3 linked regions of the Mus musculus genome follow. The protein of the gene in region 1 purifies or fractionates together with the protein of each later gene. This does not show direct contact. Links are inferred from orthologs where the notes say so. Each region holds a gene or a part of one and is shown in the gene's direction. Other genes may lie near its edges.

Evidence for each region.
Region 2: the proteins of Axin2 (region 1) and Ctnnb1 purify together in Homo sapiens (affinity purification with western blotting; 4 studies listed by BioGRID and IntAct, with this or other methods). This does not show direct contact. The link is inferred for Mus musculus from reciprocal best matches to the Homo sapiens genes AXIN2 and CTNNB1.
Region 3: the proteins of Axin2 (region 1) and Gsk3b purify together in Homo sapiens (affinity purification with mass spectrometry; 9 studies listed by BioGRID and IntAct, with this or other methods). This does not show direct contact. The link is inferred for Mus musculus from reciprocal best matches to the Homo sapiens genes AXIN2 and GSK3B.

What each region holds. Positions count from the first base shown.
Region 1 is NC_000077.6:108,944,345-108,947,816, forward strand, and holds part of Axin2 (axin-2), read left to right. Parts: intron 1-165; coding exon 166-261; intron 262-1,535; coding exon 1,536-1,703; intron 1,704-3,472. UniProt on the Homo sapiens protein: Inhibitor of the Wnt signaling pathway. Down-regulates beta-catenin. Probably facilitate the phosphorylation of beta-catenin and APC by GSK3B.
Region 2 is NC_000075.6:120,932,058-120,936,204, forward strand, and holds the start of Ctnnb1 (catenin beta-1), read left to right. Parts: upstream 1-1,342; 5' UTR 1,343-1,581; intron 1,582-4,147. UniProt on the Homo sapiens protein: Key downstream component of the canonical Wnt signaling pathway.
Region 3 is NC_000082.6:38,087,501-38,091,805, forward strand, and holds the start of Gsk3b (glycogen synthase kinase-3 beta), read left to right. Parts: upstream 1-1,500; 5' UTR 1,501-3,025; coding exon 3,026-3,113; intron 3,114-4,305. UniProt on the Homo sapiens protein: Constitutively active protein kinase that acts as a negative regulator in the hormonal control of glucose homeostasis, Wnt signaling and regulation of transcription factors and microtubules, by phosphorylating and inactivating glycogen synthase (GYS1 or GYS2), EIF2B, CTNNB1/beta-catenin, APC, AXIN1, DPYSL2/CRMP2, JUN, NFATC1/NFATC, MAPT/TAU and MACF1.

The sequences.
Region 1 (3,472 bases):
GTTCTAGAATGTCCGCGAACACAAGGTCTTGTGGGGTCTCTGCGGGGAGGGAGGTTGGGTTGGGTCTACATCTGTTGAAGAAGCCAGAGTGGTTTTTCTCTGCTCCCCAGTTGGCATGAGCATGAGAGCTTACCTCTTAAATTCTTCACCCTCCTCCACCCTCAGGTGCTGCGTGGCCAGTCAGCAGAGGGACAGGAACCACTCGGCTGCTGGTCAGGCAGGAGCCTCACCCTTCGCCAACCCAAGCCTGGCTCCAGAAGAGTGAGTGTCTCTCTGACATTGCTGGGATCCTTACTCTGTGTGGTTGTACGGTTCAGGAAGTGTCACCATCTGGAGTGATGTGTGTGTGGAACTCCATATCTGAACCTACCTTTGTGTCCACACTTAGTGAAGGGCAACACTAAAGGCGAATGTTGCCAGCAGTGAGGGTCACGGGACATCAGCTCCCAAGAATTCAGTGATGACACCGGGTTTCTGGGGGTCTCAGTCGTCAAAAGTTGGGCACGAAGCCATTGTCAGAAAGGTAGAGTGCCTGAATCTGGATGCACAAGCTACTTTGTAGGTTTTGGGAGCTAGCAAGTCTGGACAGGTGTTTGCATCACCCCCTGAGCAGGAAAATGATTCTCAGATTGCCCGGAAGTCTGCCTCCACGATCCGCGTGGAGAAATGTAAAACCTTGTCTCGAACTGGCTCACCCATTTACTCAGGACTCTGAACCCTGTCTTGTCTACAGGATTTCAAATCTGCCTGAGTTATAGAATGTGATCTAGATAAAGTTTTCTTAGCATCATCACCCCAAGCCATGACTAATGTTTGAGGTCCTGAGTAAACACCTTCCTAGACCCTTTCCTTGTTTTAATTGGTGAACCTCAAGTCTACCAACTCTCAACACTGGTGGCTTTTATAAAAGCCACTCACTCCAAAATAAAGTAAATGGCACCATTAAAATGACAGGAGTGCGGGGCTGTAAGAGAGTTGGTAGAGTGCTTGCCTGCCATCGACTGTGCAGCGAGCCTTGGGCTAGCTCCCTGGCACCACAGAAATGGAGGTGGAGGCCGTGTGAGTGAACATCTGTAATCCCTAGCTCTCTGAGGTGCAGGAAGACGGTCATCTCTGACTGCACAGCAAGTTTGGGGCCAGGGATATGTGAGAAGAGACAGGCTGTTCACCTGTAATGTGGGTCTGTGGGAATGATGGATAGGCCTCCGAGGGCATGATGGGTAGACCTCCAAGGGCATTTGAGCGCACACTGTTCATGAGGAACCCTGACCTGGGATTGCCTCCATGGCATTCTCTGGTCTTTACCGGTGGGCACCTGGTTATGCTTGCGATGGAAGGCATTGGGGAATATAGTATCAGCTTACCAGAAGACAACCACCGCTTGCTTCCCTCATGCTCTGCAGCTCTCTTTGGAGGTTGTTCCCTTGGTAATTCGAGGCCCCAGGCCTCCTTTGTAGACAACCTCATGTTGCGTAGGAGTCGGTGTGTATCTGCTTTGCGAGGCTGAGTCTGTGGCATCCTGATGTCTTTTTCAGTCACAAAGAGCCAAAGAAACTGGCAAGTGTCCACGCGCTCCAGGCCAGTGAGCTGGTTGTCACCTACTTTTTCTGTGGAGAAGAAATTCCATACAGGAGGATGCTGAAGGCTCAAAGCTTGACCCTGGGCCACTTCAAGGAGCAGCTCAGCAAAAAGGGAAATTACAGGTGAGGGTCCTGCCCGTCCCGCCGCCTCGTCTGCTCTGGAGTTTGCTCAGAACTCAGAGGATCCAGGCCCCCGAGCATCTTGCTCTCTGCAGGCCTCGGATGGATTGGAGACACACTGTTCAGAAGCTGCCTGAGTGGGCTGCTGGGTGGCTAGGGTCCGTCTGTCTGTCCGTTAGTGCCCCCCCCCCCCCCACGCTCATGCTCTCGTCACCTCTAATATGAACAGCCATGAGGGAAAGCTGATGAGAGGGTATGGTTCTCTGGAGATCTAGCCAGGTCCAAGTGAACAAGACTGAGGACCAAAGACACAGCCCTTCGTTTATTTAACCATGAGAGCAGGGCTGGACTATGTGGTAGGGGCTCTGCCAGAAATCAGAGACTCCTTCCCTGATAAGGGAGGGCAGAGTCAGCCGGGCGTGGTGGCGCACGCCTTTAATCCCAGCACTTGGGAGGCAGAGGCAGGCAGATTTCTGAGTTCGAGGCCAGCCTGGTCTACAAGGTGAGTTCCAGGACAGCCAGGGCTACAGAGAAACCCTGTCTCAAAAACAAAACAAAAAACAAAAAAAAAAAGGGAGGGCAGAGTCAGAGGCTATGCTGGAAGCTCAGAAAAGCAGAGACCAGGGCCAATGAGTCACTCAAGTTACCTATAGCAGCAATGCTTATCAGTAACTAAGAAGGGGCTATGCCTGGTCAGTCAGGAGGGTGGATAGGGCTGAGCCCCGTGTCCATCTGTCCCTCCCCTCCATGCTGGTCCTGGGCCTCACAGTCTCTCCCTGCCAGCCAGCCTCCCTGGCAGAGTACAGGGACCCTTAAAAAAGACCCACATTGACCTTGTGAGGTCCTGGAGAACCCAGAACTGAGGATGGAGGCCATCTCAGACGCGTTCGTCACCCTCCCTTCTTGCCAAGGCAGGGGATGACTTGACCCTGCCTGGAAATGTAGTGTGTGTTCTGCCTATCGTCCCAGGTATAGAGCACCAGGCTGGGACAGTGAGGCAAACAAGACGCTCAGGGCACCCTGAGGAGGTTCCCACCCAAGAAGTGTCCTCTCCCCAGTTGAGCGTCCCGGCCTCTATGTAGAGGCGCACCCCACACGTATCCCCAGAACCCAGATGTGTGAGGAGAGCGTCTGAAGGGCGCTCAACTCCAGGGTAGGCCCTGTGGGACTGCACCAACCATTCTGTCGTGGAGTTCTTATGCTGGCACCAACAGTGACCTTTCGCAGGGAGAAAGACCAAGACCCTGCAGGCGACAGCTTTCTGGGGTGGCAGGTGTGTGTCTGGGCATAAGTCATTTTCTGTTGAAGAGGCCATTCCGAAAGTTATCAAAGAGTCTGGCGAACAGGCCGGGCTGCCGCCTTTAATCTTGACAGAGACCCAGGTGAAGCTAATTACAAGAGTATGCTCCTCCAGGGATTCATTTTGATCTTGGCTTTGACTCGGCCCAACTTTGAGGAGAACCGCAGGTGACCTTCAGGGGGCGAAACTGTCACAGCGCACTATGTAGCGGCCTACAGGGAAGGGCTTCGCTCAGCCACTCTGGCCACATCTGGCTCTGATTTTTTTTCCCCCTAAGGCACATTTAATAAGCCTGGCTTTGAAGCTCTGGCCTCCCCTTTAATGCACAAAGACTTGCACAAATGGTCCCTTCTCAAATTCTTTCCTGATTGGATCAGGCTGTGGGAAGGCCCTCCCACCCTCCTTATCTCTGTAGTTGGGCTTGGTGTCCTCCTAGAGATGGGGTTCTGGGCACTAGAGTTCTGTGTCTTAT
Region 2 (4,147 bases), on another chromosome or scaffold:
AAAAAGAAGCAAGTGTCAAAAAGAAAAAAAAAAGAAAAAGAAAAGAAAGGAACCCCCCCCCCCCCCAAAAAAAAAAAGAAAAAGAAAAGAAAAGAAAGGAAACCCCGGACAGAGGTGAAGTCAGCTATCTAATTTTAAACGAATCGACCAAATATTCTTTAACTCTGCATGTGACAATTAAAATTAGGGGTTGGTAGCTGCAACCACCACTGGTAGGGCTTTGGTAAAATACCTTTTCCTGCTCTATCTCTCTGAGTTATGGCAGGCCAAGTCAGCCCCAGCCAGCAGCAGAGTTTACTCTCCGGAAATCCGAGCAGAGCTGCAGAGGGGAAAGGTCTAGACAAAGGCCCTCACTGAGCAGCTCCAGCATGGTGGACTGTGGTGGTTCACAGAGTTACGGTGATATGTCTTTAAGATAGAAAATTGAGTCATTTAAAAACTAAGCTGGCCCTACAGCACCGGCCCTGCCTCAGTGATGCATGGGCTTCCTGCCAGTACCTGTACATAAGGACCTATTGTTTACTTGCGTTAATTACAGCGCTGGGATGAAAGAAGGCAGTGGGGCAACTTTCCCTGTTGCCATTGTTTGGGAAGAGACGTGAGCTCAGAATAATAGGCTGGAGACAGCCAATTCACCCCAACTGCTCCAGTTTTGACAAGTGCCAATCGTGAAGGACAACAATGGGGCCATTTCCAAGAGAAGATCCAACTTCACCCTATTGTCATGATTTGGGGGGGGGGGAGCTCTCGAAGGATACAAAATTAGTTTTGAAAATTTAAGAGGTTACCCACAGGTCCTCTCAGCAACACACTCGAGTTTCTCAAACAATACAGAAAAATCGCTGTCCTTGGTCCCCACGCCTGGTTCTACTGACCCAGTGAGTCTGGGTAAGATGGGGTTTCTAGGAATCACGCTGGTGAACGCAGTGGTGGAGCTGAATCACTTGTTAATAGATGTTCGCAGACACTCTTGGGGACTCCAAGGCCTCCTGGGGTGGGGAGGAAAGGTGGCTGGGCCCCAGGTTCCCTGTCCGGATTCCAGAGGCACAGCGGGAAGGGAAGCGGGACACTCCTGGGAGCGGTAAAGTGTGGTGGGGTCCAATGGTGGTTCAGGGGTGTGGCGGCCGGTGCACCGGTGATGGCAGCCTCGAACCTGCGCCGTCCGAGGCCGCACTCCACCCGGCCCGCGGCGGCGGCCCGCTCTCGATTCCTTTAGTTTCCAATGGAGCGGCGTCTGGACGCCCCGCCCCGGCTCGGCCCCTCCCGGCGGCGCACGCGCAGAGCGACTCGGACTGGCGGGGACTACTTTCCCCGGCCCGCCCGCGCCCCGCCCCTCGTCCTCGCGCGGCGGAACGCTCCGCGCGGAGCGGCAGCGGCAGGATACACGGTGCCGCGCCGCTTATAAATCGCTCCTTGTGCGGCGCCATCTTAAGCCCTCGCTCGGTGGCGGCCGCGTCAGCTCGTGTCCTGTGAAGCCCGCGGCCCGGGGAGGCGGAGACGGAGCACGGTGGGCGCCGAGCCGTCAGTGCAGGAGGCCGAGGCCGAGCGGGCGGCCGCGAGTGAGCAGCGCGCGGGCCTGAGGTGCGGCGCCGCGGCGGGCCGGCTCGCGCCGCGCCAGCGGGAAACTTCGCGGGCCGGGTGGCGGCGGGAGGCCGCGGGGACGCGCGGGCTGGGGCCGGGGCCGGGCGGGCGCGCGCCGGGAGCCCGGATGGACGGCTGGCCGCCGTGGGGGGTGGGGACCGCGGTTCGCGTCCGGGCTGGGGCCGCCGCGGGGGCGGGGTGGGCGGGGGCCTCGCCTCCGTGGCCCGCGGAGCCGGGGGGACGCGAGACCTGGCGCTCGTCCCCTCTGTCCCTCGTGGAGCACGCACAGACAAATTTTTTTTTCTCCCTGCAACGACCTGACTGTGAGTTTGAATCCAAACAACTTTAAGCCGTGGAGTCGCCAAACTTGGATGCAGCGGGCGGGATGCGTCAGGAGCGTGTTCTCGGAGGGTGGCTTCTTGGACTCGCGTGGGGTTGGTGGCTGCGGGGCCGAGGTCCTGGCGGGAATTTGGGACCGTGGACGAGTCACCGGCCACTCCTGGTGTTGGAGGCGGGGGGGGGGGGAGGTGCGCGGGATCCGAAACCTGGGCTTGGGGGAGGGGGACTTGCCCTTAGCCAGTAAGTGTGGGGTCCGCTCCAAGTGTTTCTCCCCAGCGCGTTTGCTTTCTGAGCGAGACGGAGTGGCCGGAGCGCGGACCGCCAGGGCGTGGGAGCCTGGCGACTTGTTCTGAGTGTTGTTTGGGGGACCAGACTTGGAACCGACGCTCCCAAGTTCGGTACCCCAGGCCCGCTCCGGTGAGCCCGCTGGCTGCGGGGCAGCTTTGTCTCGGGCTCGGGTCTCCAGACATCTGTGGGCTCCCCTCCCCCGCGCCCCCCGCAGCCCCCCTCCCGGGGCCTGAGCTCTGAATGGAGAGCGGCTGGGCTGCTGGTATGCGGAGGTCGGCGAGAGGAAATCGAGGAGTGGTTTTAGTGAAACGAGAGCTTTGTGCCATGAATAATGGTGGCTTAGACCAGACAGCAAGCTGAGGAGACGGCAGCTTTGCCTTTGATAAAGTCTGCCTCATGTTTTTCACATGGCCAAGTTGTGAAGCGTTTTGTCTGGGATTTAGGAAGCCATTTCGCTATTTACTTGAGGTTTGCAGATGTCTCAGTGCAGTCTCTCCTCGTCCCGGGAAAGAGCTTGCTTTCTTGGTTCTAATTTAATGTTGCTTAAGCTTGTGGCCTTTGTATTTCGGTTTTGTATGTCCGGCTCAAACTTTGAGTTAAGGCCCGCAGTTACATTTAGTTCACTTTCACCTTAAACATTCAGAAATCCCCGAAATTAAAATGAAGTGCCTCCAAGGTTTGTTTGAGAACGCCCTTTCACAGCGGACAACATTGTTGATGGTACTGGGGATAGTCATTCTGTGACCTACCTAACCTTTGTCCTCAAGGCCGAGTCTGGACAAGGCCTTTAGTGGTGGCAAGGAAGTTGGAAACTTGCAGATGTTTCTCTACAACAAACCCTCCCAGGCTGAAGTCCTTAATTAAGGAAGCAGGCTATCTGGAAAGCTTAGCTTGCCTGGGACAGAGTCCTGGGCCTCACAGTCTGTAAAAAGACTATCTTCAGATAGGGAAACATTTAATCGAATGCAGGCGTGAAGAAATAGAGTTTAACTGTCATGTGATCATTTCTCATAGTCTAGAGCAGTGCTTCTCAGTCAGTCTTCCTGATGTTGTGACCTGTTAAAATAGTTTCTCAACTGTTATGGTGACCCCAACCGTAAAACTTTCCTTGCTACTTCACAACTGACTTTGCTACTGTTGTGAACCATAATGTAAATGTTTTCCCACGGTCTTAGGTGACCCCTGTGAAAGGGTTGTTGAACCCCCAGATTGAGAACACTAGTTTAGAGACTGTATATTGGGTATCTATGTCTCCAGCTTGAAGGGAAGTATCTACTGCTGTAGTGACGATGGGACTAGAGACTGTGAGTGAAGCCTTAGCTCACGAGTCTCAGAATCCCAGAATCCCACCGCCAAGGTGGAGGATGGGGAACTTTCTTAGTCGGAGTGTATTTTGAAATGTGTGCTCAGGAAAACTGGTGGAGCCCTTTTGCAAATAAACTCAGGGCAGAGCATGGACAAGAGCCTGTGCACACTGCAGGTGGCGAGTGGAGTGGAGTGGTATATTTACAGTCGTTTGTTGCTGTACTTCTAAGCAGGAAGTGGACAGTGAAAGTAGATGGAGTCAACTGAAATATCAGTGCTGAGGTGAGGTGAGGTGAGGCCAGGTCGTGGTCTCTGCCCATCACCTAGTGGTAAATTTTTAGTGTCCTTGGCCAGAAGCAAACCCGAGGGACAAACTCCTGAAACGGTGTTCACAAACTCGTAAAAACCTTGCAAACGTACAAACATTTTAACTCCATTTTCTTTTGTTGTTTTGTGGCCCCTGTCAACTCCTTTTTATTTAAAACAATCTCACTGAAGACATCTTCATGCCACAGAGAGTAAAGTAGATGAGCAGCTACAGTTCTGAGGCCTGTGGAGGCAGCCTCTGTCCTGAGAGGACGCAGCTTGAGGAATGTTAGGCAGCCCTGCGATGCTTGCTCTTCAGCAACACCGG
Region 3 (4,305 bases), on another chromosome or scaffold:
TTACAAATTGGCTGCCTGTCGGGCACATTTTCCTGGGATTTTTTACTTTGTTGGTCTACGTGGTTTCGGCATATCGGTTGCCAACACGTCAGATTTAGAGATCACACATAAAACTTCAACGTTATGGTTTTGGTAATTAAAAAAAAAAAAAAAGGAGAATACGATTATTTTAATGGTGGACCCCCTTAAGGGCATGGATGGAACTCCCGTTTCCACATCATCTAACATTCCTATTGTCTTCCACCAGGCCGGTGTCATTCGCTTTATTTGCCAGGCCTCTACAGACATCTGAGTCTGCAAACACTATCCAGACCTTTACTGGCTCCCTTCAAAGCTTACTTTGTTCTGTCCCAAGTCCCTCATCAGATTTTAAAGCAATAGCTAAGCAATCTGATCAAGTACGTGTACTTTTACATGTGCTTTCTGGAGATAGCATCTCAACAGAAAGAGATGACTATGCGGGTGGGTATTACAAGTATCACGGGATTACAGTCAGGATTGCCAGTGTCCACTCTAACTTACTCTAGTCGTAGTAGCCACGCCACACAGCTCTCGGATGGACCAAGGCAATGGTCTCCTTTGTAGAACAATGGACGCTGGACTACATGTGAAACCTACTTAGGCAGCAGTGTGCTGATCATCCAATAACACTAAAAACTGCTGCGAGCAATTCTGACTTGAGCTTCCTCCTAGGATTCGAGGTACTGTCCTGACCACATTTCCCCTCACCTGTTTTCGGGGCTGCTTTTGCGCTGGACAGTCGCGCCCATGGACCGCGCTCATCTAGCATGAGCTCATCTCTCGGGGGCGTTTCCAGAAGGCCTGGTCTGGCCTTGTGCGCCTGCTGCAAAGGGCTCCCCCCCCCCCCCCCACGAGATCAGCGGCCCCCCGCGATGGGCGGGCGCGGCTGCCCAGAGGCTCTCCTTCTCTGGAAGCTTTGTTCCCATTTAAGCGCTAGAGGGTTCGGCCCCGGCCACGGCGCCCTACGTCTTTCAGAGAATAGACGTTCTCATAGGCTCAGCACGCGCGGTGGGGAGCCTCGGGCGCACTTGGTAAGCCGCGCCCCGCGGAGCTCCCGGGAATGGGGACGGCCTCACGCCCCACTAGAGCGCTCGGGGCCCGACCCTCCGACCGCAGCATTGTCGGACCGGGCTGCACAGCCAGCACGAGCGTCGGCTCGGAAAGCAGATGCAGGCCGACCACTCATCCCGTCCGCCCGCTTAGGGACCACCCGAGGCCAATCCCACTGCAGCTAGGTCTTGCGATTGCACAGCAGTGAGCGCCTATTGGCCGCCGCCACGGGCTCCTGCACCCTCCTTCTCCCTTTCGAAGCTCCCCTCCCCCCGCGCTCCAGCTCGACGCTGCAGACCAATGAGATGGCACTTTATAGGTGCCCTCCCTCCGCTTTCTTCTTCTCCCCGCCTCAAAGAGGGAGGGGAGGCTCTGACTGGCCCGATGTCCTCGGAAGCCCCCTTCCCTTCACCAATCACCGAGAAAGGTACACGCCCAGCGGAGTTGTCCAGCCAATGAGGAAACGGGCGCGGCGCCCAGCCGTGCAGTTCCTCCCGCGACTCGGGAGTTTCGCCGTCCTTAACTCTTGAGGCTTTTCCCTGAGGGCCAACAGCTCTGATTGGCCACTGTCGCTATTGTCGACTCTTCTCTCTAGCCAGCCACAGGACAAGGAGAACCCTCTTCCCTTCTGTTCGGCTACCTTCGGCATTCCTCGTTGCTGGGGCGTGGTCTCCCAGCGGCGTCTCCTCATTGGTTATCCAGGTCGCTCGGCTTTTTCCGGCAGGAGCTGCAAGCAAGCGACGTCTCTGATTGGTTCCGGCTTGGGTTTCGGCTCTACAGCCGAAGCTGGCGGGCGCGGGCTCGGCGAGCGATTCCCAGACGCCTGTAACGCGGGCGGCGGGGCGCTGGGCGGTGTAAGGGCTGGGTGGGGGAGGAAGGAGGCGGAGGACGAGTAGGAAGGGGGAGGGGGAGTGGGGAAGGGCTAGGCGGCTGCGCAGACGGCGCGCCTCGCACAGAGCAGCCCCCGACCCGGCCGAATGCGGGCTTGTGTCGCCGCCGTCGCCGCCGCCTGGGCCGAGTGACAAAGGAAGGAAGGCAGCAAGGAGGAGCCGGCCTTGCAGCCGCTGACAGGGCTTCGGGCTCCGGGCACAGCGCGGACACTTCCCGAGCAGCCGCTGAGCAAAGGCGAGGGGCGGAGGCCGGCCGTGCCGGGGCCACGGACGGGGGAGGGGACCCCGAGGGACGGAAGCGGTTGCCTGGTTCCCATGTCCCCGGCGTATGGGGAGCAGTCAGGGAGCCGCTGCCTGGGGTCTGAAGGGAGCTGCCTCCGCCGCCGCTGCCGCCATGGCCGCTGGATCCAGCCACCGCCTGCAGCTGCTCCTGGCGCAATGAGGAGAGGAGCCGCCGCCACCGCCCGCCGCTGACTCGCGACTGCGCTGCCCTCCGGTTCACCCGGCCGCCGCCGCCGTCAGACCGCCGGATCCCGCTGCTGCCGGAGCCGCAGCGTTTGCCGTCGCATCTCCGAGCCATCTCCTCCCTCCTTCCCATCCCCCTTCTCTTCAAGCGTGAGGCTCGTGATCCTTCCGCCGCTTCCCTTCTTCATTGACTCGGAAAAAAATCCCCGAGGAAAAATATAATACTCAGAGTACTTATTTTCAATCAAGTATTTGCCCTCGTTCACGTGATATATATATATTTTTAAGGATTCCACTCCACCCTTTTTCTCCTCTTCCAGGAAAGGGAGGTGAAAGAATTGTATTTTTCTCCCAGCTCTAAATCATCTATGTGTTAAATATCCGTACCGATCTGTCTTGAAGAAATACATAGCTCCTTTTTTTTTTCCTTCTTCTTAAATAGCTATACAAAAGGAGTGAAAAGCCAAGAGAACGAAGTCTTTCTTTCTCTTTCTTGCGGGAGAACTTAATGCTGCATTTATCATTAACCTAGCACCCTAACATAAAACAAAAGGAAGAAAAGGATTAAGGAAGGAAAAGGTGATTCAAGAAGAGCCATCATGTCGGGGCGACCGAGAACCACCTCCTTTGCGGAGAGCTGCAAGCCAGTGCAGCAGCCTTCAGCTTTTGGTAGCATGAAAGTTAGCAGTGAGTATCGATTTTATTTTACACCCTTCCTCCACCTTACCATTTAGATAAGAAACCTCGAAATACCAGGATCTTACACTAACAGACCTGATAGAACAGTCAGTGGTCGTGGAAAAGGGCAAAACCAGCCTTGAGTCAAGAAGAGGCAGGCTCCTTTTCCTCCTCCCATTCCCGTACCCCCTCCCCCCGCCTCATTAACCTTGGATTGAGAGAATATTAGTTTTATTTGCCTGATTGGATTTGAAACTTCTTTTCTTACGTTCTCCGTGCTGCTGGTAGTCTTTTCAAGTGCTCCAGTGCCTCCGGGTTAAGCGATGGAAGAAGCGTTCGCTTGCCCATCCCTTTGAATAAAGAAGAGGAGGACAAGGCTTGATTAATAAACCATGATGTACATTTGCCGAGTCCTTGTCTTCTGGAATGAGGGAGTTTATCTTAGTTAGCTCAGGTTATCAGGGTTCTGTATTCAAAATAGAGATATTAAATGCCCCAGCCTCCTAATATTTCCTATTTGCCCGTGTGACTACACAAAGTATTTTTGAATCTGGGGATGAACTTGCTTGGTAACCCACATTGCCGTTGGAGGCAAGCTAGCATCCATCCCTCACTCGTCTAGGGGTGGTGGAAGCTGATAAATATCCCGCAGCAGTCGCATCTCTAAGTGCATTGTTTTCAAGTGGTTTAATGTGTTATCTCTTAACCTTCCTGTTTTGACATTACCAATCTGCCACCATATAATTTGTTTAATCAAAAGGTAACTTGGAAGGAGATTCAACTTTTGATTGAGGTTGTATTGTCATTTTGCCACAAACTAAGTTAAGTGTTGTCACTGACTCCTCATTTAAGTTTAATTTTGAGGTGGCATTGCATTTATTACTTGTTATTATTATTATTATTATTTTTAAGAGTACAAGAGGATACCCTTTTAGGATAATTTAAAATGTGTCAGTATCTGTCAGTCTTTCCCGGGGAATCTGTGCTGAAAAAAAAGAGTCTTGTGTTCTTGAAGTGTTTGGTATACTGAGTATCCAGTGTTCAAATGTATCTATTTGTGGAGATGTTTATGTGGTATTTCATGACAGCTTATTAGAACATAGTTGCAGATTCTGGCCAAAATATCCATGTTGTTTTCCTTATTCGATGAGAAAGAAGAGGGAGGACACAGATAAAACTGTTTTGTTGCTGAGAGGAGCTG